Linked DNA regions of Schizosaccharomyces pombe. The main gene of each other region encodes a partner of the protein of the gene in region 3 in a complex. Each region holds a gene or a part of one and is shown on either strand. Other genes may lie near its edges. The genes, in order: rrp42, rrp40 and rrp46.

The links.
Region 1: rrp46 (region 3) and rrp42 share a complex: the UniProt entries of both Schizosaccharomyces pombe proteins name them as parts of the RNA exosome complex.
Region 2: rrp46 (region 3) and rrp40 share a complex: the UniProt entries of both Schizosaccharomyces pombe proteins name them as parts of the RNA exosome complex.

The regions. Positions count from the first base shown.
Region 1 is NC_003423.3:4,226,469-4,238,153, forward strand, and holds rrp42 (exosome subunit Rrp42), read left to right. Parts: upstream 1-5,472; 5' UTR 5,473-5,484; coding exon 5,485-5,732; exon of another isoform or gene 5,733-5,798; intron 5,799-5,829; coding exon 5,830-6,481; 3' UTR 6,482-6,728; coding exon of another isoform or gene 6,729-7,316; 3' UTR 7,317-7,466; coding exon of another isoform or gene 7,467-7,511; 3' UTR 7,512-7,612; downstream 7,613-11,685. Other genes in the region: phosphoribosylanthranilate transferase Trp4, read left to right, coding at 818-1,882; kex1 (serine carboxypeptidase), read left to right, coding at 2,349-2,576, 2,644-3,342, 3,390-3,995; BAG family molecular chaperone regulator Bag101, read right to left, coding at 6,729-7,316; top3 (DNA topoisomerase III), read right to left, coding at 7,467-7,511, 7,613-8,348, 8,396-8,532, 8,583-9,075, 9,165-9,541, 9,589-9,669; protein ptf2, read left to right, coding at 10,754-11,134. UniProt on the Schizosaccharomyces pombe protein: Non-catalytic component of the RNA exosome complex which has 3'->5' exoribonuclease activity and participates in a multitude of cellular RNA processing and degradation events.
Region 2 is NC_003424.3:1,176,641-1,183,246, reverse strand, and holds rrp40 (exosome subunit Rrp40), read left to right. Parts: upstream 1-3,306; 5' UTR 3,307-3,315; coding exon 3,316-4,038; 3' UTR 4,039-4,391; downstream 4,392-6,606. Other genes in the region: SPOM_SPAC22A12.14C (BSD domain-containing protein), read left to right, coding at 876-974, 1,030-1,080, 1,125-2,018; mug84 (pig-P phosphatidylinositol N-acetylglucosaminyltransferase subunit), read right to left, coding at 2,406-2,993; dihydroxyacetone kinase Dak1, read right to left, coding at 4,440-6,182. UniProt on the Schizosaccharomyces pombe protein: Non-catalytic component of the RNA exosome complex which has 3'->5' exoribonuclease activity and participates in a multitude of cellular RNA processing and degradation events.
Region 3 is NC_003423.3:633,985-645,779, forward strand, and holds rrp46 (exosome subunit Rrp46), read left to right. Parts: upstream 1-5,347; 5' UTR 5,348-5,389; coding exon 5,390-5,444; exon of another isoform or gene 5,445-5,527; coding exon 5,528-6,153; 3' UTR 6,154-7,359; downstream 7,360-11,795. Other genes in the region: SPOM_SPBC115.03 (gfo/idh/mocA family oxidoreductase), read right to left, coding at 360-1,466; AFG1 family ATPase, read left to right, coding at 3,670-5,034; ndi1 (NADH dehydrogenase), read left to right, coding at 7,702-9,357; respiratory chain complex assembly protein Cbp6, read left to right, coding at 10,307-10,495, 10,563-10,685; rba50 (RNA polymerase II-associated protein), read right to left, coding at 11,236-11,795. UniProt on the Schizosaccharomyces pombe protein: Non-catalytic component of the RNA exosome complex which has 3'->5' exoribonuclease activity and participates in a multitude of cellular RNA processing and degradation events.

The DNA.
Region 1 (11,685 bases), 3.6 Mb from region 3:
CTCACTTCGATTCATCGAGGATTTTGAAAGGCTGCTTAAGCAAGATCAATAATGAATGGGTAATGTGTTCTTATACATTCTTATAAGCAGCTTACTGAATTTTGCATGCCTGTTCAGCTCTTCAATCACTTACATTCTTTTACTATATTCATGGATTTTTTTACAAAAAATATAATTGCATGTTTAAATATAGTGAACCTTCTAGTACTTTATTGAACATATCGTTATTCCAATTGCAGTTCGGGTTGATGAAGTGCGTAAATCATTGTCATATTCCAATGATTGCTGAATTTCTTGCGTGGTCCAACTTTTGAATGGCGTTGCCGAAATTAGGCATTCAGTGAATCAATTACAGAGCATTCAACTTATGAATTAGGTTTTGGTATGAATGTTAGCAGATTGCTGAACAGTTTACTTGCGCGCCCTTTGCCGTCTTCTCTTAACCACTAAGAAGTAACCTTAAAAAGACGAAAGATTCCGTTCTTCGGATTCTACCTCTTATTGCTCATACTTTTAGCATATTTTTCTGATCTTTAGTATAATAAAGATTAAATCCATATTTTTACACCTATTTCTTTCTTTTTTTCTGCTTTTAATAAATCAGAAAAACCGATTTCACGTTTGCAAGCGAAAATCAATTTCTTGCTAGCAAATTCATTCTGCACTTTCATCAGTTTTGAATCTGAGATACTCTTTCGCGTTTATATTAATTTGATAGAAATATACGAAAGAAAAGTCAACTTCGTTCAATCTATTTATTATTACTTTTTGGTTGCCCTTTTATCCATACAACCAATATTCTAAGCATTTTCTAATAATGATAAATACATTCAATCCCGAAGTCCGTCTGGCCATCCACGATTTGGATAAGGTAGGTCCTGCTATTCCTCTAGAGAACTATGAAGCGGCATTACGTGCAATTTTAACTGGAAAGGCTTCACCCGTCGAAACTGCTTCCTTCCTTGCGAGCCTTCATTTGACCAAAGCCGAGGAAGTTCCCGATATCCTGATGCAAACAGTTCAAATTTTAAAGTCTTACTCCACGCCAATTGCTAATATCGAGATGGTTTCTCCCAGATTTGTCGATATCGTTGGGACGGGTGGTGATGGCCATAACACGTTTAATGTCAGTACTGCCTCTGCCATCGTTGCTGCTGGTGCAGGTCTCTGGGTCTGCAAACATGGCAATAAAGCTTCTACATCTGCCAGTGGATCTGCTGATTTGTTGATGTCGTTTGGTTGTGATCTTCTTAATGTCACTCCCAAAAATATCGTTTCCATTACTGAACAATGCAAGTTTTCATTTTTGTTTGCCCCCATGTGTCACCCTACTTTAAAAAATGTTGCCCCAATTCGTAAACAACTGGGACTTCCCACTATATTTAATTTAGTAGGCCCTCTGTTAAATCCTATTCCTACTTATGCTCGTATTATCGGAGTTAGTAAGCTTTCGTTAGGAGAAGTTGTTGCTAAGACATTATTGAAACTTGGAGCTGGTCGATCATTAGTTGTTTGTGGTGAAGAGGGTTTGGATGAAATCTCTCCCGCTGGACCTACGCATACATGGCTTGTTCGTGACGGAACAATTACTCATGAAGTATACACTCCAGAGTCTTTCCATCTTCAGTCTCATCCTCTCTCCAGTGTAGCCAGTGGCACTCCATCTGCAAACGCCATTCTTTTGGAGGAGTTATTATCAAATATGCTGCACGCTAATCATCCGATTTTGGATTATGTGTTGATGAATACTGCAGCGTTACTTCATGTTGCTGGAATGGCTGAATCTCTTAGAGAGGGTGTCAAAATTGCTCAACAGAGTATCTCTTCTGGGGCAGCACTGAGAGAGCTAAGTAACTTTTCTACTATTAGTCAGCAACCCTAAGGTTTTTATTTCCAAGCTACATTATATCCTAGAACATATATCCGTTCAGACCCCATTTTTGTATATTCCCTTTCTCTTTGTTTTTCAACGTGCCTTTGCAAAAAAAAGCATTATTGTTCTTTTTTTTTACGTTTGTTGTTTATTCTCACTCCTTTTCCATATGGGATATTTTTCTTTAGCTTAGGTCTTATATATCAGTTAGTTATGGATCTATAAAAATCGTATTAGCGATTGAACTGTAGTATATTTAAAATTTATATATCATGTTTACTTAAGCTTAATGTCTTAGATGGGATATTAAGCACAATTGTGTTACGTTTCGCTATATAAAATAGCGAAATACAATAATCCAACAATTTGTGAATAGATAAAAAGTAGCAGACTAATATCATCCGAATTGCGGACCCCATTCCTTTGTATTCAATCTGGGGATCATATAGAAAACTGTCGATTTGATTGTGAGAGCATGATTTCGAAGTTACTGAAAATAGTCCTTTTAACTGCAGGTGTTATTGGCAACACACTTGCTGATTCTAGAATTCATGAACAATATCTTGTAAAAGCATTTCCTAATGAGCCTGTTGATTATGAGGGAAGAATGCATGCTGGACACTTAAATCAAACGGATCAGCTGGATGGTGATTTGTTTTTCTGGATGTTTGAATCCGTAAAACCCGAATACGAACATCGTTCTGTAAGTATTTCAAGTGAATGTTTTTAAATTAAATTATATATTATACAAATTACTAATTTGATAAAAGATTCTTTGGTTAAATGGAGGTCCTGGCTGCTCTTCAGAAGACGGCTCGCTGATGGAAGTTGGACCATTCCGTCTTGATGACAATAATACATTCCAATTGAACCCTGGACGCTGGGACGAATTGGGTAATTTGCTTTTCGTAGACCAACCCCTAGGCACAGGGTATTCATACTCTCTGGCTAAGGATTTTCAATCTAACAATGAGAAAATGGCCAATGATTTTTCTATTTTCTTTGAGAAATTCTTGGAGGAGTTCCCAGAAAGAGCAAATGATGAATGGTTTATCGCCGGAGAATCATTTGCTGGTCAATACATTCCCCATATCGCTGCAAAGTTGAAAGAAAAAAATCTTGTTAACTTGGGAGGCCTTGCAATCGGAAATGGATGGATTAACCCACTTTCTCATTATGAAACATACCTAAATTATTTGGTAGAAAAAGGCATGGTTGATTTTGAATCAGAGCTGGGTCAATATTTACATCATTCTTGGGCGGAATGTTTACTTGCTTTTGACAAGATAGGTTCCGGATCTGGTGATTTATCTAAGTGCGAAAGTTTTCTTGGCGATATTTTATACATGGTGTCAAAGGAACCTGGGAAAGCATGTATGAACATGTATGACATTAGCTTAGAATCGACATATCCTACTTGTGGAATGGACTGGCCTTACGATCTTTCCTATCTTACTGAATTTTTAAGTGTATGTTTATAATTATATGATAATATATCTTTTACTAACATTGTCAGACTCGTGAAGCGATGACTTCCTTAAACGTTAACCTCGAAAAGGTTCATGATTGGGAAGAATGTAATGACGACGTTGCCCTACAATATGCTCGTGAAGGGATTGAGTCCTCATCTAAGTTAATCCAGGACCTTGTATCTACGGTTCCTATTTTGTTGTTTTACGGCGAAAATGACTTTCTTTGTAATTATTTATCTGGCGAAAAATTAACCCGATCACTGGAGTGGAATGGTGCTGTTGGTTTTCAAAATCAATCTGCTCAACCATTTTATCTTCCGGGCTATTCTGATCAACCATCGGGCTCCTATGTTAGTTCCCGGAACCTGACCTTTGCTCGCATAGTTGAAGCTAGTCACATGGTTCCATACGATCATCCTAATGAAATGAAGACCTTGATTACTGCTTTCTTTAATAATGACTTTGCCAGCTTACCATCGGTACCTAAACCCTCTCCGGATTTAGGTAATGGAAACTACAAATGGCTTTATTTGGGTTTGATTCCTGTTGCTTTAACTATCATTATTTTATTCTCAATTTATTTGTGCAGGAGATTTGGATTATTTGGTCTTAGCAAACAACGCTACCAACCTATATCTCCAACTCCTTAGACTGTATATAAATCTTTTCTGTCGGTTTTTACTTTCACATACAGATTTTCTGCTCTTTATTTTAATCATTTAACTTTTAATCTTGCTTTATCGGTGGTAGAATTTATTTTTTTATCTTGGAACGTTCTTCCCTGGTTTTAAAAAATCTGCGATTATCACCATAAATTTTATCTCTCATCTTTAATCAAATTTCACTTATGGATACATTCTTTGAATTTTTATTTTTGCACATAGTCTCTAAATGATCTCAAATCATGAATATGAAATATCATGTACCAAACATTGTCTTATAGCTATTGTTTGTTCTACAGTTTTTGTAGTTTTTTTATAGGACAGATTAGCGTCAAACGCTAATCTCAATAACGTGTTTGCAATAGTACAGTATATCATGGAGAACTACGTCTTGTAACATGTGTCACAAATGTATAAATACTAGTGAGATCTGTCTGTTTATATTGACAATCCGTTACATCCCTTAATAATCGATTATTATAAATAATTTATAATCGAATCACGTTCCTAAATTCAGTTAGAAGCTATAGCAATGGGAGGATTCTATCACATCTACGCATGAGAACAAAGGAGAACTGCAAGCTAATAACAGATCTACTGTAATCATATTTGACAATCCAAAATCGACGCACGTTATCAGGGACACAATTGATGCGTTTGGTAAATTTTACAGACAGCCTTAACTAAATAGGTCTAGGCAACGAGTGAACTAGCTCTATATCAAAGAAGAAATTGGATAGTTTTATTTCGATGACAACGTCTTTAAATCCATGATCCAATAGGCCCAACTTGCTTGTGGATGGATACTTACAGATGGCACGCTATCGAACAGAACACCAGATATGATCTTATTGCTACTCGGCCAAATTGCATCAAAGTGGTAAATAATATTTCAGCGTAGGTTTTGCATCCAAAATTTTGAAGGAATAGGTTATAATGAAGCACCAACTGCCCAAGCATTTTCAACTGATGTAAACTTGCGAAATTTTTAGAGAATGCGCCTTTTCTGCTGTGTCAATAAACAAGTCTTAGCTAATAAAAAAACATGTCGCAGTAGTACTGACAACGCTATAATTTACTACGTTGTGTATCACATTTGGAACATGTTCTATTTAAACATAGCCTCGTAGATGATAGATATTGGGGCAAATCATTTGATATCTGAAACAAATATTTAGTTTATATGTTCAACAATTTAAATAGGAAACTAAATTTCGTTCCTCACTTTAGTCAGAAGCTAATAACAGAAATAGATCATAAATAATACCTACATATACCAATATTTTCAATGACTCATAGCCGTTATACCTATGTATTATAATATAACAGATCACATGTAAAACTTATCGCGGTTTTGCATATCGTTAAACAGATACAAAACTGCGTAGCATACATAACGAACTTTAGAATATACGCAAGAACTCAACGCAATATTGCAAGGAAAATTATTCTTAAACGATATACCATTAGCCAACATATGCAATTGTCATTACCAGAACTATCGTACACACACAAATCAATAACAGAATTTGAGCCTGCAATTCGGAATGATGGACGTTCGATAGACCAGCTTCGTCCGCTTTCTGGACAAGTAGATGTTCTGCCTGGTACAAATGGTTCTGCTAGAGTTAAATGGGCGTCTTCGGTGGAGATAGTCATAGGTGTAAAAGCAGAAGTGGGTGATGCTACTCCCGAAGGTGGTAAATATGTCGCTTCAGTTGAAATGTACGTGAGATATTTGGAGTTCGTATTAACATTGTTTGGCGTAACAAACAATATGAATCAATTGAAAAAAGCTGGTATGCTAACACTTTTTATGTAGTTCTCCATCTGTTTCAATCCAGAATCGTGAAACCGATGAAATTCCTTCATTCCTTACAAGTGCCCTTCAGGATTTATTAAACGCACTTGCTGTCGACTATTTGAAATTTACACCATCTAAAGCTTGGATTATTCACGTAGATGCTGTTGTAATACTTTCTTCGTCTCCTTACGAAAACATTCTTTCAGCTTTAAGTCTTGCTGCTTATTTAGCATTACAGACTACACGTTTACCTAAAATTTCTACCCCCAATGTCACAGACATCACTATTGGATCTACTAAATATGAGCCTTCCGAAGAATACGATGTTGATTCAGAATGGGAAAATGCATTACCTTTGCAAGGGTTAGAATTAATGTCAGTCATAATTTTGGTTAGTAGCATTGATCAAGTGATAATTGTTGATCCTACAATTGAGGAATCAAGTGTCGCTCAAGTGACATATGCGATTGGTGTTCAAGCTAGTGGTGCTATTAGCTATACCAGGGTCGTGGGTACTGGAGGAGGCTACGCATCCACTGGACGTGCAATAACTGTAGAGCGATATATAGAATTGTTAGAGACTGCGTCTACCGTTGGTACTAAGCTTTTGAACGCCAGCAGCGATATTCTATCTTTTAAGGGTTTAGGATTTTTTGATATTCTTCCATAAATGAATTGGGTTGGGTTGGTCTCCATTTCCTATATAATAGCATCTTTCTCTCTATATATATATATAAATGCAATACTTGGGTTACGGAATCAGGATCAATTTTGTTACATGAAGAGGCATGCATCGGTATTTTTGGTTACTATGGTTGGTCATTGTATTTCGTTTAGGTCAAAGTCATATAGCAAGTATAGTAGATGGGAATAATTTAAGGGAAATGAAATGGTAACGTCTATAAAAATAATAAAGCCTATGCGGCCACTTCTTGGCTTGTTTGGTCAACGTGATCCAACATTTTTTGGATCTTAGAAACAAGTTGCTTCCGTTCAAAACGCAATTTCTCGCTGCCCAGTACGTCAACTCCATCCAATTTTAAAAGCTGTTGTAAAAGTAGTTCACTTATCATTAGTTTCTGTTTGTTTTTCTGCTTTGGATCGTTCGACGGTTTATTTACGTAATTGTCGTACATGGGGGAAAGTTCTTTGTCAACATACTGATCGATGGCTTTTATTTCTCCAGAAATACGCGAAAATACAGGATTCTCCGCTTCCGCTTTCGGAGCGGGCTCAACCGTGTCTTTTTCCTTGGAACCTCGTTGTTGCTTATGTGGTCTTATACATAGAATTTTACTATGATTTTTTAAACCCAATTTTGATAACGAGGCTTTTTTGTCTTTTAAACGCTTGCCAGCGTAAAAAAGCTTGACTTTCTTCTCAGAAATCTCAGTCGTTTCAAGTAAATCATCAATCAGTTCACTTAACGTCTCATTTAGATTGACTGCTACCGGAAATCGCTGATTTCCATAGTGTATTGTAACTGTGCTAGTCTTTTCTGACATTGACGATATTAAGTCGACTTGCTTAACGGATCCAACTCAAGATGTTTTATGTTTTTAAGGCTGATGCTATCCAAAAAAATGAAGGTCTTAATGCGACGCTTAAAAACGAAAGGTAATAAGTTAATAAAAGTATACGAGCGGTCTGGTTATCTAGGTTTGCGGTTCATTATGACTCATAAGGTAGACTCTGCAACTCTGCGTTATATTTGTTAGCAACCATAAAATGAAAAGATTAATAAATAAAGTATGGGATTTTGAAAATTGGAAAAGTAGGAAACAATGATAATTTGACTTACATTTTTTAAACAATCGAATCTTTGCTTTGTGAGATGAAAAACATCACGGAATTGGGTAAGGATCATATGAACTAGAACATTCCGATTAAGTTGGCCATTTTCTATGTTTTTAAGTTGAACTTCCATTTCTTTTCGCAAGAAAGGCTTGGTCAAACTCCACTCTAAACCAATTTCATCATAGCCTTTTGCCAAAGCAACTCCTAAAGAGCTTGGTACAAATTCAGTTACACCTTGGCCCCTTTTTTTTCGTTTTATGACATATTCTCTCTCCTGAACTTTTTCGATGTGCTCTGCCATAGTAGCATCTGTCCCGATTCCATTGGCATCCATCAAGGCAATTAACTCCGGTTCAGTGATATAGGAAGGGGAGGACGTTGAACTGTCCATCATGTCGAGAATGTGGGGTTGGAATTCCTCGTGAAGTCTATACTCTGGTAATTGATCCGAACTTTCCCATTTCTCATATGGATAAACCTCTAAATAATTTTTCTCTGTCACTAGCAATCCCTTTTTAGAAAAAAGCTCTTCTTCCATTTTAACCTGCACCAACGTTTCGGCTCCTTTGGCATTGTCAGAACAACAAGCTAAAAATCTTCTTGTAATTAGCTCATATACTTTCCAATGATCTTGGGAAGGAAGCGCTGACCGGTGAACCATTTGAACGGGATGAATAGGTGGATGAGCGCGATCATTGTGTTTACCTTTTCGGGGCGGTCGATAATCTCCAGCCAAAAGCCTAACATTAGTTATTACGGAAGCCACTATAAGAAAAATTATATTTACCCTTCTGCATAAGAGTCCCATTCTTGTGCACCTGTTAGTTTTTGGATAATCGCATGCAAATTCATTGAAGAGTCAAATTGGTCGGTTTCAGTACGTGGGTAAGAAACAAACCCATTAGTATATAAGTTTTCGGCGAGCTGATGAAAATGATGTTAAAGTTGCAAATTCACTTATAATCAAATCGTACCTCTAAAGTTTTCTTAGCAGAAATTCTTAGATGTTTTGGCCCCAGTTTTGTAAGTTCTACAGTTGATAATGGCAGAGGTTTATACTTGGTTTTTGGTTTTTGAGTTATGTTAACGACCTTAGCAGTTTTGCATTCTAAACAGTTTTCCAAGATGATCATTGTAGTTAATCTGTCAAAAACTTTGGCCCTTTCCCAATTGAACTGAATAGTCTTACCCTGTCTTTTATCAACAAATCGAAGGTGCCAGTAGGTTTCAGGCACAAAGTCTTCTACTCGCTGCCACCGATCAACTACAAAGCCTAATGTAGGGAATTGGCAGGGACCATAACTTATTATTTTATTCTGAAGAATATCGAATGATTTTTGTAATTGAATAGTTTGTAGCCGAGTGAATATTGCACCTAAACGAAAATCAAGTTCAATTCTAGCATCCACAGCATCTGCAGCATTTTTTGAAACATCTCTTGGACGTTTCGCGGCACTGATAATATGTCTGAAAATTAGTTAGCATTTATCTTGAAGGGTTTTTTCTGTAATAAATAAATATCTGCTTTTTAAAACGCTAAGATGTTTATAACTTACGACCGTTCCAAATTATTGAAGTCTGCTCGGATAACCTGAATAGATGGATTGCTGGCTCTAGCTACATTGGAGATTTCCACCCCAATGTGTTCACCCTCACGATCACAATCGGTCCAAATATAAAGGTACTGGGCATTTCTAGCTTCTTTTTTAATATTGTCTGCTAGTACTTCTGCATTCTTTGATACTGAGGTGATGATTTGAGCATCGAATAAAACGTCTTGAGGGACAGAGCTCCAACTAGAATATTCAGAAGGAAAAGAAGCTTCTGTTAAGTGACCGGATACAGAAGTCATTGTAACATCAGAAGATCCAACATTGCCTCCAAAATTAAATGAGAAGTCGTAATTTTTTACATACTTACTTCGTGTATCTCTCTTAAGAGATTAGTAAATTTCAGAAAAGATTAAATTTTTTAACAAACCCTTCTCACGTGTCCACCCCCTAGAATGCTTGCTACCGATTTGGCAATCGAGTTTTTTTCAGCAACACATAGGACGCGCATTTCTTTTAAGAGATGACATTTATTACTTGGATATTGCACACCTTCTAATTATATCTCCCTTTTTTAAAAATGACTGCAGTGTAAAATTCGCGTGTAAGGTGTTAAGGTCGAGATGGCTTTATTGTTTATGCTAACAAATGTTGGTATAATGAAAGGTAGTAAATCGAGGACCAGAAAGTTCATTAAAAAAAATCAAACACCATACCAGTAGTTAATTATACTAGAGAATTAAGAAGAACCTCTTTAGATAAGTAATTATATAATTTTGATGTATGTTGCATTGAAGAAGTCCATGTAATAACTATTTCTTAAGCTTTCATAGTCAGGACGGTTTAATGAATAGATGCGCCGAATGTATAACAAAATTTAAAATTAATATTTTGTTTGTAAAAAAAAGTTAGAAATTTAGATATTTTTTGATTTTTGAACCCATCATTCGCATTGTAAACTACATATTTATTTCTATAGAGCATGGTAAATTGATGTAAGTTCCTTAATTAATTGAAATTAAAATAAATAGATAAATGAAAGTTCTCTTATTGACTCAAACCGGGATTGATAATATTTTAATTTGTTTTTATATTTATATTTTCTCATCTTTTAAATGCAAAATAATTATCGATAGCTAAAAAAGAAAAAGAAAAATCATGCACTATCGATAGAGTGAAGGGACTGTGCAGAGGATTTTTTTTGTTTTTTTAAAACAAAGCGACCTTGTCTAGAAGGCAAGTTTTTGTTTCACAGCTTCTCTCGTAAATCTCAATTAACTACTTTGATTCCATACAATTGGTAACATGTTACTTTCCTCACCACTGTAGTAGACAAGTGCGAACCTGAGATAACTGATGAAGCAGTAGTAAGCATTCTTCCACGAGGTTTCTACTTTTTTTAATATAGTCTGAGGTTTATTATTCTGAAATATAAAACACAAAAAATCCATGTTCGATTAAAGCGATTGAATTTGGGAAGTTTAGGAGGTGCGATTAACCAAAAATTTGAAATTTAATTTCTTTTTCATCTTTTCATTTTGTTTTGTTTATAACAAGTTTTTGCACTTTGGCTTCCACAATATTGACCTTTTTTAATGGATGAGATACAGGAGTCATCGTGTAATGAAAAATTGAGTGACGAAGACCTTGCAGCCGAGTTTGTTGAATTTACCGATAATATTCCAATCGAGATTTATCGTTCTTTACGTTATATAAGAAAATACGAGAATTTTTTTGCAAAAGAAAATGAAAATTTAAATACCGCTGCCAGGTTGGTGTGTGATTGTCCCATTTCAGAGGTCCCAAGTGCTAAGCAAAAATTGGCAGATTCTCTGTTTACATCGCATGAGTATTTACGACAAACAAGTGCAGAAGCAAACAAGTTATATGAAAACGTTTTGGCCTCTTATAAGCACTTGTGTGAAAAAATAAAATATCTAGAAGCAGATAATCCGCTTTATGTTCCAGCACCATGATTTCATTTTATTTTTTATTTTTTTGATAACCAGTTTCCCTTTCATAATAATATTTTAATTTTTTTTTTGCTGCACTTTAATGTTGGCAGTGCGATCCGTGCGTATTCTGTTTACTTTGATATGAGAATTCTACCCATTTACGGTTGATGGATAAAAGTGCCTGGCGATGATGTTTAACCTGTTAGCGACAATTTCTATAGCTTTTCTCCTTTTTTTTCGTATATAACTATGATAAGAGATTTTTAATTTAGGATTATAAGAGTCATATTATTTATTATCAATTGCCAGTTTAAATACTGAAACGCTAATATTGAACATTACTCAATTCTGAAAAGTTGCATTGCCAGTTTTCATTACTCCCCAAGGTTTATTTCTCCTTTCTTTTTTTATTATACTTTCTTCTGAATTTTAGAATTGATAACAAAAAACTTTGCTAATATACAAGTAAGGCAAACGATTTCAATGTTTGGACATTGCTCGGACAACTAAGTGTTCTTAATACATTAAACGCACTTCGGTTGTGTGTCAAACAACAGTGTTTTTACCTTTAT
Region 2 (6,606 bases), on a different chromosome or scaffold from region 3:
ATACGCAAGTCTGACTCGATGCTCTCATTGTTTCATGACCTTAATCTAAAGGGTTATTTGGAAACCCAAAATGTTTTCTCATGATTATTAATGTGGTCTGATGGCGTTATCATTTTGATAGCTTCTCGAGCTGTTTCTGCTATCTTGAAATGAGTGTTTCTCTTTCATTGTTGAACGTCTTGAGTATGATTAAAATGGTATTATGTCTCCAAAATAGACCTGATATAAAGTGCATTTTACTTTATCTACCAGAATCGTGACTCTATAGCCATTAACAAAGTTGTATGTCAACACCTAGTTAACTGGTGCTTTGTTATCTTTGTATTGCTTACTTCTGCTAATGGCTTTGTGGAACTGACAATAATTGGTAGTTAATCATAAAGACCCTGTATGTTTATCAAATTTTATAGCATTGGGTACTAATTCCTTTTATTATAAATACAATCGTTCTTTTATCTTAGTGTTTATACTTACCTGAGTTTGTGAGTAGCAGCTTTTTTATATATAGTTTTAAAAGTATTCTATTTATTAAAACATCTCATTTGATTAAGTCGAAGTGCAAAGTGGTGAAATTTTATGGTGTTGTGTATATTTTAAAATTGCTTTACTTCAAAAACTTAGAATTTGTTTTTTGGACGAAAATAAGCTGTAGTGGATTGTGTAATGCCTTTTTCATTAAAAAGTATTATTGGAAGTATACTAAGTTAGTATAAGTGTCCATAGTCAGAATACGAGCATAATCGTGTCACTATTCGGTAGGCTATACAATATCTTCACTTGCTGCCAAGTACAACATATATAGCTTGTTTGCTACCAAACACATGTGAGCTTATTCTAACAACTAAGTACATAAGTTTTCTTTTAAACTATTCAAAATGGATTTGTACGATTATATGGCACCTACAACCACTACAGAAGAAGATGATGAAGAGGGATACGAAAAACTGAAAGAAGAAATGGGTTCGGCTCTAAATGTAATTTATCCTTTATGATGATTTACGGCGCGGAATTTACTGACATTTTATACAGAATCTGACGAATGGAAAGTTTGGTTTGTTTTGGAACTCAATGAAAGAAAAGGTGTGTTGATTGCGAATAATGGCATTGTTACTAACCGTTCAAAGAGTGAAAACTTTCTTGATGATACAAAGGGAAAAGCCTCAAGTGGAATGCAGCAATTAAAATCACAGCTTGAAGAAAATATACCTGTTAATTCTGCTATGGAAAACTTGCGAAAAGTAGAAGAAACAGCAGGAAGTTTCTGGAGTGGCTTCGGATCTACAGTGAATGGTTTTTTGGATCAAGCATTGCAGATATCACCCAAAGAAGACGATGTATCGACTCCTACACACGAAGCCTCTTCGTCTGTTTTCTTAAATCGCCACGAGAGACAGTTGTTGGAACTTGTTCAAAACGAAAATACTTTTACCCAAATTATCTCTGAACCCTCTCATGGGATCACGTTTGAAAGCTGGGAAAAAGAAATTTCCATTGATGGGAAAACTGAAGAGATCTCTTTACTTTTGGAAGAATATCCTGATTTAAGGAAACAGATGGAATCTTTAGTACCTTCTGAAGTTTCTTATGATGATTTTTGGAAACGATTTTTTTGGCATAAAGAGGTTGTACAGCCGATAAAGGCAATTCAATCAGGAAACGATGAAGAAGAAATTTTTAGTTGGGGAGATGAAAGAAGTGATGAAGAAGAAAGTGACAATGAACAGGTTAATGATGAAAAAAAGCAATCAAGTGAAGAAGATACTACTGAGAATAATTCAGCAGCTGAAGTGATAGATGAAACCGTCAATGATTTGGAGTCAGCAGTTTCAAAAGGCTTACAAATTGAAACTCAACCCGCAAGCCATGATGGAGAGGTTGATGGAGAAGTTAAAGAAGAAGAGGAAAATAAAGTATCATCTTCCAGTAATATAGAAGCTTCTCAAAGTTCTCTTGAGGTGAAGGATGAAGCAAATAGAAAAGTTGATGACGATGATGAAGACGATGATGACTGGGAATAACGACTCTCGTCAAACTATTAAAAAGAGATATACTGTTTTTACTTCTCTTCTATTCATTTACTTGTTTTGGTGTGTTTTGTTCGTATAGCTAATTATTTGTCTGAAAACATTTTGTTTACGAACAACTCTTAGGTATATTATTAGCGGAATATAAAAAACATCTAATCTTGAGTATGCAGGTTGGAGTAGTAGGACTAGAGCATTAATCAACCTTCTTATAATATTATACATTTACATATACTTTTTGATTGTGAAACTTAAGGAAACCAGGATTTAAAAGTAAATCTGTATGGGTCGACGACATCAATAGATAATAAGTCCCTTAAATAATGAAGATTTTTAAGGAGAAAATGAATTCTGATATCACTTAGCTGCTTTTAGTCTTTTTTAAGTTTCTTCCAGTTGTTGTTTATTCACATCACATAGGCGAAGATCAACAACTCGACCATGAGCAGCACCATCTTCTTCACCAACGAGTGCGTATTGATCAACGATACATTCTAAGCTGCTAAATGGCTTAGTCAATACTTCGGTATTGTAAGCGTTTAGCACAACGTGAATGTAAATAACAAGAACAAATAACCAAGTAGGAATAGCTAGAGCCCACCAACGAGATAGATAATAATGAATCTCAAAAAATTTGAGAACAGGCGCAGGCGTCAGAGCCCAAACAATATACACGCCGAACCCCAACATTGACACCAAATACATCACGAACCCGTAATACTCATAAGTAGGAACTTTTACCATTATATCCCAATCTTGTTGATCAATTTCTGCAATGGCAGTTCCCTCTTCATCAGGCGTTGTAGACCTCGTTCGAAACATCGTAGTCAAAGATGGCGACGGTGGAACCAACATCGGATGTCCGTAAAACGGAGGATCAAAAACAGTAGTTTGCCTTACATCTTCTATCTCTCCTTCAGCAGAACCCTCTATCCCTTTTATGAACGTGGAATGATGAGTAAGTGTCATCCAAACATGTGTTTACTATGTGCATTTGTTAGATGAGAGCGCGTACTGAGATGATACAAATACAACTACGTCTGCTTACGATGTGATTAAATTCGATATCCCTATTAACGACATACATACAGAAAATCCTCGTAAACAGCATTATAGCACAATGTACGTTTGCGTTATTTTTCACAGTCTGGGCTAATGTGATTTATAAAATTAACGAGATTTACAGTATTAGTTTAGACACACTTACCGTCCAAGACATTAATCCTCGAATTATAGTGTATAACTCGCGAAAAATCAAACCCCAAATAGCTAATTTTCTTCTGTTAACCAAATGGCTGAAGTTGAAGAAAAAGGTCTGTTATCTTATTACTTTCCTGGTGAGCGGATACCAGACTCCATAATTAGTCAGGATGGATCAATTCGTTTAGGTCCTGGTTTAGTCTTTCAAAAGAAAGACCGTGAAGAAGAAATAGTGGTCTCAAAAGCTGGGAGGTTGCATCAAACTGGAAAAAATGCTATGTTGATAGACTCACGGACAAAAAGATATATTCCTGCTACAAATGATCAAGTTATTGGGCAAATTATTTCTAGATTTGCGGAAGGTTATCGAGTAGATATTGGGTCAGCTCATATTGCTCAATTGAATGCATTGGCTTTTGAAAATGTGACTCGTAAAAGTAGGCCCAATTTAAATGTTGGAAGCCTTGTGTATGCTCGAGTATCACTCGCTGATCGTGATATGGAACCGGAGTTAGAATGTTTCGATGCTACCACAGGGAAAGCTGCAGGATATGGTGAACTTAAAAACGGTTATATGATAACAGGTTTATCTTTATCTCATTGTAGGAAGTTGATCCTTCCTAAAAATACACTTTTACAGACCCTAGGAAGCTACATTCCTTTCGAAATTGCTGTTGGAATGAATGGTCGCGTTTGGGTCAATTCTGAAAATCTTTCTACTACGGTCCTCATTTGTACAGCTATCAGAAATTGCGAATTCATGTCTGATGAAGAGCAAATAAAGTACTGTAAAGACCTTATTAAAAAGCTCTAACGAGATTCAGAAAAAAAAATTTGAATAATATGCACAGTCTATTTAACAATTCTTGTCCAATTGGGTTTAATTCAAAAATGGTTTGCCCTTATCTAGGAGGGACCATTTCTGAATAAAGTGTATTGTTTCTTCTTTAATGCCTGTGTCTAATATTCCCATACAATTTCTGTCGTTCTTTTATTTATTACAGCAGCGTGTTCATACAATATCTACACTCGTCCTTTCTCAACTGTTTTAATTAAAAAATTACTTATTATAATGCATGAATATACAAATACAGATGCAAAGATAAGTAAGCAATAATTAATGCATGCATAATGAAAATATAATTGTTATTCGTGCTCGTAAATAGTTTTTAAGATCATACCAATTCTACAATCCCAAAAAAATTTCGTATCCAATTATTTCGTAAATCCTTCGACAATTGCAACGACACCAAGAGCGCCGGCATCGGGAACTTTAACATCATCACCAACGTAGACAGCACGTCCAAGTTTGGCTTGCATATCTGCAGTAGCATCAGCACCTTTACGAGCCTCCTCTACGGCAGCATTAAGATCATTAGTTTTAACAAATGTTTCGACAAATGGAACAAGAGCATCACACATAGTGCTGTCACCAGGACGAGCGGGAGTATACTTGAAAAGAGTATCAAGAGCAACCTTCAAACCAGCAGCCCATGTCTTAGATGAAATGTCCTTGCTCTTCTCCAAGGTGTCTTTCATGCCCTTCGCAAAGCCATGGAAGAAAATGGCGTACAAAGCACCAGATGTACCATCCATATTGTCTTCAATAACATCTGCGATATCACGAACAATACGAATAGGATCGTCAGAGAATTTGTCGGATTTAACAAACTTCAAAACACCTTCAGCACCACGCTTCAAAGTAGTACCACAGTCACCATCACCAGCCATCGTATCGAACTTTGTAATTTTAGGCTCTGCTTTGATGAGATTCTCCATCGAATTGACAATCGCCTGACGAACCTTCTCCTTATCGACAGTAACGGGAGACTTGACATCCTTCTGACCCTCCTCGATGCTGACATTGCCAATCTTGTTTTTGGACTTCAAGTCAGAGGGTTGACACAAAGGCCATCCGATAGCTTCAACAGGTTGGTCAATCAAATCAACCAAAGAGTATTCTTCGCCCTCGACTTTGACGCGGTCAGTGGTACGGAGCAAAGTGATACCGAAACCCAAGCCATTCAAACTGGTGGTAAATGGACCGGCAAAGATGCGAACGGGGTTGATTTTGTATTCTTTAGCCAATGCTTCCTTCACCTTGTGGCTAATGGCACTGAATTCAAGCATGGAAAGACCACCAAGGTTATTCATAAGTAAGACTACTTCATCGTCACCCTCAATCTTTACATAGGCACGGTCCTTGTCGGATTGATCCAACATTTGCTTAAGCATCTGAGCGATTAGGTCATCAATAGAGGGAATAGGGGAAATACGCTTGCATCCAGGTTCATTGTGAATACCCATTCCAAGTTCCATTTCATCATGTTTCATTTCATCTTCTTTTGCAATTGGCTCATGACCAGGGACGTGAACGTGAGCGAGTGAAGCACCGATACTAACCAAATTGTCAATAGCAGCCTTAGCAATGGTCGTAACGGCTTCCAAAGGTAACCCTCTGGCGGCAGCTGCACCAGCGATTTTGTGAACAAGAACAGTACCAGACAAACCACGACGTCCGACCTTACCGCTCTTCTTACGACCTACTGATACGTCATCTGCAACGGCAATAAGTTCAGCCTTCTTACCAGCCGTTCTTTGCTTCTCCAAGGCCATACCAAAGTGAAGGATGTCACCGGTGTAGTTTTTGCAAATTACCAAGGTGCCAGCCTCAGATTCGACTTGCTTAATACCGGTATAAATTTGCTTTGACGAAGGAGAAGCAAAAATGGAGCCTGAGACGGCGGCAGTAAGCATACCCTTGCCCACGAACGAAGAATGAGTGGGTTCATGACCAGCACCACCGCCGGAAATGACACTGACATTCTTTTTGTTGTAGTCATGGAAATAGATGAATTTTCCCTCTTCATGAACAGTTAAAGTTTTGTTCATGTCGGCCAAGGATTTAAGGCCATCAAGGACGAGGACTTCAGGATCGTTGATAAAGTGCTTATCCATATTTTAGAATAATAAGAAAAAGGTAAAAAAAAGAGAATAAAGCCTTAAAATAAAATTAAATATAAGTTGGATAGTTAAATCAAATATTCCCGAAATTTATGATCTAAGAATATAAAATGACTTGTTTTAGGTGGTGGGGAAGTGCAAGTGTGAGTAAAGGATTAAAGAAATAAATCTATGTGTCTCTAAAATCTCAAAATATTAATATCAAAATTCCCTTCAATGCGAAAAAATTAACACTTTATACGCTACTATGCTTCAACTGGTTTAAATACAAAATAAATAAACCAAGAATATACTAGTAAACGTTTCGTTTCGTTACGTTATGTCTCGTTTTCGTTTCGCTATTTCGTAAAAGTTATGAGTGTAGCGGAAAAAGGGAGCTTGAAGACGATTTAATAATGCTGGCCTTGTCTCTCTATAT
Region 3 (11,795 bases):
AACAGATAATTACAGAATAGCAACAGTGAATCTTTTCACTAGTATGACTTTATTGTCTTTTGTACGTTCAGTCCCAGTGGTCGTCCACTTATTGGAAAGGAGCTTTAAATATGAAAACAATATTCCCTTCATTTGAACATTATATGATTTTGGTAATCCCATTTCAAATTCTTTAAACGGTTTCTAAAACATGCAATTCATTACCATTGATTATGGCTATGAGATGTTATAACGCAATTGTTAAAACCAAATATTCACTATTTTAATTCTAAGATCACTTCTCATTTAGTTTAAAGAAAAACAAGCAAGGATTTTCACACTGAAGGGTTACTTCATTTAATAAAATTGTAAATATTCTTTTACAACTGGATCGAGCTAGAAGATTCAGAACTTTTATATGCAGCCTCCATTATTTTTTCTACTGCCAAAACTTGATCAGATTTGATAGGAAACTCGTTAGCTTTTTTTAAGATTTCCTCAAAAACCGCATCGTAGAAGTCCCGGTAATTTCCCTGAACAGTAGGAACCGTAATTTTAGTTGGTTCAGGCAAAGCTTTCACGTCAGCATCCAAAGGAACAGTCCATAAGTTTCCATAGAGCTCAAATCTATCAGTTCCAAATCCATGATCGTTAGGCTTCATTCCTGAATGTAATTGTGACTCTTGTGGGTCAAACCCAAATTTCATAAAAGAACCACGAGTGCCCTTAATACAGAATCGCATTTCACAGCCGCATGACACATTAGTAGAAGACAGAATTACGTTGATTGGAAGTTTGTTTCCTTTAGCAGGGTAATGAAGAATAATACGAAAATAATCTTCCACCTCCAAAGGAGGAATTTGACGTTGAGCTTCCAGCTTGGCAGTAACAGAGTAAGGCGTGCCAAACAAGGAGACTGCTTGATCAATTAAATGTGAGCCTATCCCGTACACCATTCCGTTCCCGGGTCTAGGTTCATCTTTCCAACTTCCAGATTTTCGACCCAGACGGTATCGATCAAAGTGAGATTCGAATTCAACAACTTGACCAAGTCTTCCGCTTTCTATTATTTTTTTAGCAGTCAGAAAATCACCATCCCACCGACGATTTTGATAAATTGCCAGTAGTAGGCTTTTTGATTCGGCAAGTTCATAGAGCTCTTTGGCTTCCTCATAGGTAGGAGTAAACGGCTTTTCACAAACCACATGCTTACCAGCGTTCAAAGCTTTTTTTACAATTTCAGAATGAACATTGGGAGGTAGGGAAACTACGACCAACTCAATATTGACGTCGGCTAATAATTCATCCAAGTTTGTATAAACCAAAATATTGGGATATGCAGAGCGTGCTTTGGATTGTGTAACTGTTGCCCTACGTTCTAAACATGCATAAATTTCAAATTTTGAAGGTAAAGCTTCAAGGAATGGGAAATGAAAAACAAAAGCTGACACACCAGTTCCAAGCACTGCAGTCTTAATCGGAGGCATAGTTTAACTTAATCAAAGTAATGATTTGTAAGCTGTAGAATACAGAAATTTTTTTAATACGAGAAAATATCGAACCGCTAAAGGAAGAATTTTACTAACGACAGTGTAAGCATATGATCAGATATTAATAATCGGTAATTATAAAATTTTAACCGAATGAAGGGATCCATTTATCAAACATAATCATCATTTAGCTAAACATATGCTAAAATGCATTCATGTGAATACTTGAAAGAAAATGTTTGAAATCAGTCTATTTTACGAACTTTGATTTTAGACATACCAGTTACGCTTTTTTATTATAACAAGAAAGCAGTAAGATTTCAATTAAAAATTCAAGTAATAAAAAACTGATTTTTGCTAATCAATCTGGAAAAGGTTACAGAGTCAAAGTGGATGAAATAAACTAAATTTAAAAGTAGTTTGTTTTCGACAGCTCGATTACCTAACAAAGATCGCTTATTAGCATGTCATTAAAATATTAAACACTATAACGATCATTAGGTTGAGCTTGTTAACCATAGTTATCATAGCTTTTGCTTTGTAATTAATATCATGCCAATATTTCCTCTTATAAAAACGGGAATTTTCGAACAAATAATGTACATACTATGGGATAAACAGTCATCTACTCAAAGATATTTTTATAACATTGAGCTTTAGCGTAGTTGATGCCTAAGATCAAACAAAGTAATGACTTATGGGAATTTTGAGGAAGTAAACATTTGAAGTATCTGTTTAAGTGCTTCTTCTAAAATTCTTTATTGCCTGCCTTCTTTCAGAATACAAAGTATCGCCTTAACAATTCACTTCGGTTTTACTATTTGAATGGTGTTCGCTTAGATGAGCTTAAAAATTTTATAGAGTTTATTAATTTAAGGCCTTTACTGCGTATGAAGATAGTTTTTCTTTTTCTTTTTTTTTTTTAAGCTAATGGCATCAGTTTATATTTCTGAGCCAACTTACTACCCTTTTTTTTAAAGTAATTAGTGAAAATTTAAAATATCATTCATGAATTCACATGCTAAAATAGCGAATACATATGCCTTATTTTATCTACTAAGAAGCTTTCAAAGTTCTTAACTCAAACATTTCAGTATTCCTTATTATCACGTTTTAAGAATTTCCCTCCTTTTTTATATATCATTTAACAACATTTGTTACACATACAAGATCATAACTTCATGCAGTAGCTGTGTGTAAACACTAGTATATTAATATATAATTCATTTATTTGTTTGTGGTCTACTAAAGATAAAATAAAATAAGAATAAACATAAGAAATATTAATAAGCCAAACCAAATAATCACAAAAAATACGTATATAGGCGTTTTATAAATATCTGCGTTTTGCTGGAATAATAGTTATGAAACTAATGAACGGAATTCAACTAAACATACTCTACAGCACCAATTAAATTCACTATCGATACGAACTTCTTTCTTCGGGATTTCCTTAAAATCACTTAACATCAATTGTCAAACTTATTAACAAACTGAAGCAATACTTGATATTGACCAAATTAATATTATTCTCGTACTTTTTAATTGAGTACAAAAAATAAAGTTGCCATTGTTTGTTGAATATACAAAAAATGGAAAAGAAATAAATAATACTTTAATAACATGAGTTCCAATGTATTATTGAAATTCCATGCGATTAACTTTTTTACTAATATACAGAATAACTCCACCTATCTGGGATCGTATGGAAGTATAGTTGCTTATACTTAGTTCCATTAAATTTAAAATTTTTTAAACAAGAAATTTTTTTATTAAGAACAGGTTTCTATTTACCAACGAAATAGGCTTGACTTACTAGTTTCAGATTAACATTTGCTCATGATTAAGACAATACGCAAACGCATATACCGAAATCATCGCAATTCACTATAATAAAAGCAAACTGCACTGCCGAACGCTATTCAGAGGCAAGAATAATCATGCATCTGTCCAACGATTTATATTTATTCACTTAAAAACATATGTCTTTAATCACTAAGTACGTCTTGTAGTTGACATATTTTCTTTCTAATCTTTTGCTTTTCATCTACAATCGTTCTACAGCTTTATATCCACTCTCACTTTATCATTCCTGAATGAATTCACTAATTGATCAATAACCACTTTTTTTCTTTACTTTAGTTAGCTTACGAAACATTATTTTTGTTCAAAAGTTTGTATTTAATTTGGTCATATCATCATGCTGCAAGTGCTTCGTGTTTCAGCTCCTTGTTTTGCTTTTGTTGATACTATAGGAAGCATTGGAGTTTGCAGGGTAGTTCGCTTTACCACATTTCATAATACACCTATTGAAGTATACAACAAGAAAGTTAATGACGGCGTATGGAAACGTGACCCGTATCAAGAAACAGCGGTTAAAGCAATCAACCGTTTGTATACCGAATTGGAATCGTATACACAACCTCCAATAACGCAAGATAGTATGCCAGCTGAAAAGGGATCAATCCTATCTTGGATATCCCCCTTAAAGAAAATGTTTTCTAGGAAGAAGTCTCCCACTCTAACTTCTTCTTTACCTGTACCGGGTATGCCTAAAGGTATATATCTATATGGTGATGTGGGCTGTGGTAAAACCGCTTTGATGGATCTATTTTATCACAACTTACCACCCAATGTTACTCGTTCTCAGCGCATTCATTTCCATGCATTTATGATGCAAGTTCATCGCACTTCACATGATTTGCAAGATCGTTATGGGTTTGAGATTGATTTTATAGATCATATTGCATCCGGAATAGCAAAAGAAACAACAGTGCTATGTTTTGACGAATTACAGGTAACCGATGTCGCGGACGCTCTTTTACTACGCAGACTCTTTGAGGCCCTTATGAAGTATGGTGTTGTTATCTTTATTACTTCTAATAGGGCTCCTTCTGATTTGTATAAAAATGGAATACAAAGAGAGAGCTTCATTCCTTGCATTAAACTTTTGGAACATCGTCTTCAAGTAATTTGTTTGGACAGTCCAAACGATTACCGACGCCTAAAATCTAAAACAGAAGATACATATCTTTATCCTGCTAATAGCCCAGAAGTTAAGAAAGCCTTGGAAAATTGGTTTCTTTGCTACGCTGATGAGAAAGATCCTGCTCACCAAGACGAAGTTGAAGTATTTGGGAGAAAGATAATCGTTCCAAAAGCAAGTGGCAACGTTGCATGGTTCACCTTTGAACAATTATGTGGAGAACCGAAAAGCGCTGCCGACTATCTTTCATTGGCAAGCCGTTACCATGTTTTCATCGTTTCAGACATTCCCAAATTGAGTATCGAGTCGAAAGACCTTATCCATAGGTTCATTACATTTATTGATGCCCTTTATGACACCCATGGAAAACTCATCTTATCATCTGAAGTTCCAGTTCAAGAAATATATCCGACAGCACCTTCTGAAGTACTTTCCTCTACGGCTGATCCTGCTGCCAAGGGGAAAATTGAATCTCACTATCATGGAGCATTTGGTGGGATTGAAGAGGTATTTACCTTCACGCGTTGCTTGAGTAGACTTTCAGAAATGAAAAAACAATCCTGGATTCATTCTCCTTAATACAAAGGTGATTCCTTTATAATGAGATTATATATCATGATGTATTATTTTTAAAAAAATATTTTGAAAGATGGCTATGAGTAATTTCTAATTTTTTAGTGGTTGGGCTGTTACAGATCATTCCAGTTTCTCCTATCATTCAGCTTTAGTAAAGTAAAAATTGGAAGAATTTAATTACAAACCCTTATTAATACAACTCCCATTGTCACCAAACTATTGATACATTTTTTTCTGCTCTCATTCTGTTTTCGAATAACGAGGTGTAAGCTAGCTTATTTCCTACTTGTGCAAAGGAAGTAGAAACGTTTCTTCTGTCTCTGCAAGCAAGCAACTTTGTTGCATTATAGAAGCTGAAATGAACCGTATAGGTATCCTCTCAAGGTCTGATGGCTCGAGCGAATGGAAACAAGGTAATGCTATTATCCACGGTATATTAGCCAAGCAAATGCCAATTAAAAAAAAATGAATTTTCTTTATGCTAACATCATTGTAGGTTCTGCTAGGGTTATTTGTGGTGTCAATGGTCCTATTGATGTAAAAATCAGGGACGAAAGGCTTAACAAGGCCACCGTTGAAGTTTTGGTTCAACCTGTGAGTGGTGTCGCTGAGACTTTGGAAAAGATGATTTCTAGCAGAATTGTTGGTATCCTAGAAGATGCAATATTTCTAAACACATATCCAAGAACACTTATACAAGTGTCAATTCAGATAATAGAGGAAGATGGCACAGATACATTGGCTGCCGTAATCAATGGTGCGGTACTTGCTTTATTGGACGCAGGTATCTCTTTAAAATATATTCCCTGTGCAATAAATTGTCACTGGAAGAACAAAATAACTCAAGATGAACCTGATGTCGATGGGACAATTAACAAATTGGAGTCTATTATTACTATTTGTTATTCAATTTCCTCAGAACCAGCCAAATTAATTTTTCTCGAAACAGCTGGCCCCATTCCAGAAGAAGATTTTTTCCGTGTTCTGGAGACAGCACCATTGCATGCCGAGGAAGTTTCTAAGAAAATGAAAGAATTGCTTTTTGAAACGTACAACGAGAGCGATGGTCATGAAAATGAAAAGAACCCCAAAGAGGATGTTGAGATGGATGTGGTTGCATAAGAAAATCAATAAAGTGCATGTAAAAAGTCCATCTCAAGGACCTTCGTTTCGTATTTACCATTGTACCTGTTAAACGACTATACCTTTGAACAATATCTTTGGCTGTTCATTTTTATACTTAGATTTTATATTACTTGGGCGATATACATTGGGTTATTTTTAATTTATTTTAGTTTATTACTAATTGAGAAACCAGAACCTAAACAATCCTACTACATTAGAAGGTTTACTGTCATTCTTTCAATTCACTAGCAATTAATGTGTTCTTTCAATACTTCAATGTATGCTGATACATTTGGGTTAAATCATAAAAGAAGATCTGTCATAAGACAATCGTTCAGTACAAGGCCTTGGGTATATACACTCATGACTTTTTTTTTTAATTTTGCCACTCACTCACTTACTCTATACATATTGAGTCTATCTAACGTATCAAGCTGTTAACTAAGAGAAACGATTTGAAAACACATAGGAAGGTCGCACACATTAGCTGTCTTATATACTACTGAATTTTAAGTTTAGGAAATCATTGAAGGTAAAATAGGTAGAAAAGTGAATAAAAGGCATTCATACCCAGGACAAAGCATTGCCTTCATAAACTGGGAATTTGCCATACACTAAAAAATTACTGTTGCACAACTTTTCCTAAAAAGTAATCTAATGTAGTAATATTATACTACAGCAGGTATTAATATTTTTTCACATGTCCTTTTTTTTATGTGTTCGCCAAATATGACGGTTATAAATTTAGTTAAATACTTTTGATTGAAGGTACTATTAGCTACAATTTATGAATAGAGATCAATTGACCCGGTTCTCAGTCCAGTTATAAGCTGATTCAACGATGAGTTACACCCTTCATGCCACAAAATTTATAGCATTTGTCACCCATATCACTTTTTTTAGGACAAATAACATACACTACCAATGTAACATTAAATGTGATAACACAGTGCGTTGCTAACATTTAGCAATTCTTTTCTTACCACGTAATACTTTTTATGGATAACCTTATTCCGCGTTATTTTTCCCCACTCACAGCACACTTGATTGCCGAGTCCAATCAAGTTGATATGAATAACCGTGATGACGGAATTAGGGCGCTTCGTAGACCTTAATTGTTTACATACAAAATGTTCAGCTATGCAGCCCTTTCGTCCACATTCAACACTCCCCCATCTCTTCTTAAAAAAAAAATAAGCAGAAAAACTCGTTTTCTGTAAAGTAGAAGGTATTTTAGAATACACTACAATTTTTTCTAGTAAAACTATTATTGGATACCTTTTTTTCGCAGTTCTAAAGGCTTATTTCTGCTAGTTATAGTAATTCACTGTGTATTTAGGAGAGGACTCAAGGTTGTCGTTCTCTCTTTCTATTACTGTCTATTAATATCGTAAAATAGCTCAATTTTGAATGGGTTTATCTCTTTAGTTTGCTTGCTCTTTAACATTTGTCATTATCTCATACATTTTTTTACTCACGCCTCCCTACCACTTATCACTTAGTCCTATTTAAGGGGAAATTTGTTTACTTCTTTTTTCTTAAAAAATGTCGGTCTCAAAAGCTAGACTACAGTCTGTGGTTCGCCTGTCTCGTACAGTGCCATATTCAAAAACGATGGTTCGTTCATTTCATGTATCCTGTGCTGTAAAGAACAGTGGGAATGTTCCTACACCCCGTAACAAATCATTTTTCTCTCGAGCACTTGAAATGGCGGAAGTTACTTCTTCTTTGTCCATGTTGGGTGCCGTAGCCCTCTTCCAATCCTTACGAAGACTGAACAACAGTTCGCCAAAAGGAAAATCTGGTGTTCCGAAAAAGAACATAGTTGTTTTGGGTTCTGGATGGGGTGCAGTCGCGGCAATCAAAAATTTGGACCCGTCCTTGTACAACATTACCCTCGTGAGCCCTAGGGACCATTTTTTATTCACCCCTATGCTTCCTTCATGTACCGTGGGTACTTTGAGACTTCCAAGTATTACTGAGCCCATTGTGGCTTTGTTCAAAGGAAAAATTGATCCCTCCAACATTCACCAAGCTGAATGCACTGCCATCGACACATCGGCTAAGAAAGTTACCATTCGTGGTACGACCGAAGCTAACGAGGGAAAGGAAGCGGTTATTCCGTATGATACGCTTGTTTTTGCTATTGGAGCTGGTAATCAAACATTTGGTATCCAGGGTGTCCGCGACCATGGCTGTTTTCTGAAAGAAGCGGGAGATGCCAAGAAGGTGTTTAACCGCATCTTTGAAATCTTGGAACAAGTTCGATTCAATAAAGATCTTTCTCCCGAGGAACGGGCTCGTCTCTTACACATCACTGTTGTTGGTGGTGGCCCTACTGGAATGGAATTTGCAGCTGAGATGCAAGATTTCATTGATAACGACGTTAAGGATATGTTTCCCGAGCTTCAAAAAGACATCCATGTCACGTTAATTGAAGCTGCCCCCGGTGTTCTCCCCATGTTTACTAAATCTTTGATTACGTATACGGAGAATTTATTCAAAAATCTTAACATTAAGATCATGACTAAAACCGTGGTTAAAGATGTTAATGAGAAGAACCTTATCGTTCAAAAGACCAACCCTGACGGAAGCAAGGCTATGCAAGAGATACCCTACGGAATGCTCGTTTGGGCTGCCGGCATTACTGCTCGTCCACTCACTCGTACATTGATGTCTTCTATCCCTGAACAAAGCGGTGCGCGCAAAGGTTTAATAGTTGATGAGTTTTTTAGGGTCAAGGGTGTACCTGAGATGTACGCCGTTGGTGATTGCGCATTCTCTGGATTACCTGCTACTGCTCAAGTTGCTAACCAACAAGGTGCTTGGTTGGCTAAGAACTTGAACGTCGAAGGAAAGAAGTTTGCATTGCATGAACGGATTCAAGCTCTTGAAAAACAGTTAGGTGAGAAAGAGGCTCCTTCTCAGGTTGCCGGATTGAAACAGCAAGTGGAGCAGTTGAAGTTAGAGCCCTTTAAATACCATCATCAAGGAGCTTTAGCTTACGTTGGAGATGAAAAGGCCATTGCCGATTTAAAATTGCCATTTATGAAAAAGATGCTGCCTTTGCAGGGAATTGTCGGCCACACCTTTTGGAGACTTGCATATTTAAATGAGTTGATTTCTGCTCGATCCCAATTCATGGTGTTGATTGACTGGTTGAAGACAAGACTATTTGGACGTTATGATGCTAAGGTTTAATGAACGGAATGAAATACTTTTGGTTTACAAGCAATTGTTTCCTTGTGCTTTGTCGTTAATCATAAGATGATTATTTTATACTTGAAAAAGGAACGTATTTGAATAACAGATTTCGAGATGAACGATTCGTTTCGACTACTACTTTGATAATTTAAGTTTATGTTATTCTAAATGATAATACTGATGCCTTATTTGTTCTATGATGGAATAATTCTTAGTGTTACTCCATTGATGTATGTAGAAAAGCTGGAAGTTAACAGTTGACAGGTAGTACAATTTCGTTACTCAACGAGACTATATGTTGCATATGAACTGAAAGAATTATATTTATGTCTTACTGTATTCAGAACCACTTTAATTAGAGCCCGTATAAACCATGTTCTCTGCTTTTAGCTAGCTAATCGTATAATTAATATGCCATGCTGGCTTCACCGGCACTAGATTCGTTGTACAGTATTATATTACACTACCCCATCAGGAACCGTTTCACAAAAAACCCGTTCGCTTACATAGCAACATTTCTTAGATAATTTCATATTTCTAATCCACTCCAAATAAGATATCCTTTCTTATATAGATTGAAAGTTTTAAAATACTGCTTAAATATGCTTAGTTGACTCTACCTTGCTCACTTCAATTTTAAACCGTTTTCAAAGGTTCTATCAACTCCATCGCACCGGTACTTTTTAAGATCATTTAATGATATACGTTGTATAACATAATAGATGATTCACTAAAAAAACTCACCGTAGTACTGATTGCATCCTTATAAGCCTAACAAAATATGTAATTATTCTGTTAAGTTATTTACAATATTTGTATTTGCCGCTCAATATTGTTTAGCGCAATAAGGTGATATAGCCTGGCCAAAGCAGAGAATGTCGAAGAATCTTTCTACTTGCAAAGCAATTGAAAGTTGAGGCTTTATTCTTGTTTTTAACCCTCAATAATGTCTCTAAACCAAAAAATAACAAAGGCAGTTGCTCTTTGGCCGAAGGATGAATTGCGACCTTGGTTGTCGTTTCCTAAGACTCTTGACACATCTATTAGAGCCAGACTTCAAAAGATGCCACCTCAACAGGCTAATAAGCAGTTAAACGCTTTGAATAATTTGCTTGATAATGTCTATTGGAATAAGGTATGCTTCTTATTACGTGCCTTGATAGGGTCGCCTTACCTTTGTTCGCCTTTTAACCAAATTGTAGTATATCCCCAAGCAAGTAGTATTGAAACCACAATTTAAACCTTCTTACTACGAAAGTCTTACCCAAATAAGAAGAAAAGAAGAGAAAGCTCCTCTTTGGAAAAGATTGTTTAAACGGAAATGAACTCCCATTATGCGCCTGCGAGACATCCTATTTATTTATGCCTTGATTTCATAATACTTCAATTAATGTGTTACTTCTATGACTTTCTAGGTTAAATGATCTTTCGAGATATATACTTTTTTTATATCTCTTTACTGCGCCTTGATGAAAATTTAAAGACAAAGTGATATCTTACTAGTTATGAGGGTGGGCTATTTTAATCTAAATTGTCTGTCTCAATGTCATTTCTTGTGTTAAAAATTCATTTTCGACTAAATAACGAATGGAAACACGATAAAAGTAGATAAATAAAAACTGTCCTTATAAAGCATTAGTATAAAAAATATATTCATTGCAGCACCACTTTCGATTACCAAGTAAAATCTCTCAGCAATGCGACAATTTCGAAAAAAGTAAAGACCAAAAAAAAAACCATCCTTTTTTTGATACAAAAAAAAAAAAAAACTAGTAATACACATAAACCAAAACAAATAGAATCGTCACATTCAGATACAAATGATAAAACATTCTTCATAATTTTCTGTTTCCTTATAAAAAAAAGCTTGCTTCTTTAAACAGCCGATCTCGATGAGCCGTGTTGACTTTGTGAACATAACCAAAGTGCCTCAATTGCTAATGAGCGTACAGTGAGGTGCTTTACTTGGTCACTGGCAGCGGCGGCAAGTAATTCATAGATATGTGCATCTTCGACTAGTGTATGCAATTCTGGACTGAGCACCTCTCTGAATTCGCCAGAGTTTAATCGGTAAATAATCCTTCCAATAGTCTGAATAGCAATGCATCTCTGGGTTGGGAAACTTGAACGCAAAAGATGAGCCAGCTCAACTAAAGTGTATCCGGCACTAAATGGTGCGTCTCCATGATGATGAAGTCCTTCATTAACAGGGATTGTTTGACTTTGAGAGGGGGTTATAATTTCACCTTTGAAGCCAAATCGAATTTCATGAGCATGCAAACTCTCGACAGAAGGATGATAACTATTCTCGGCAGGACTGGGATCATGCAGCCATTGCATTTGCTTTTCATCAACAGGTAAATTCGGAAAATATTTATCATGAAGTTGTTCATAAAAACTTGGGTCATTAGGATCCAGCGTTACTTGCTTCTCTG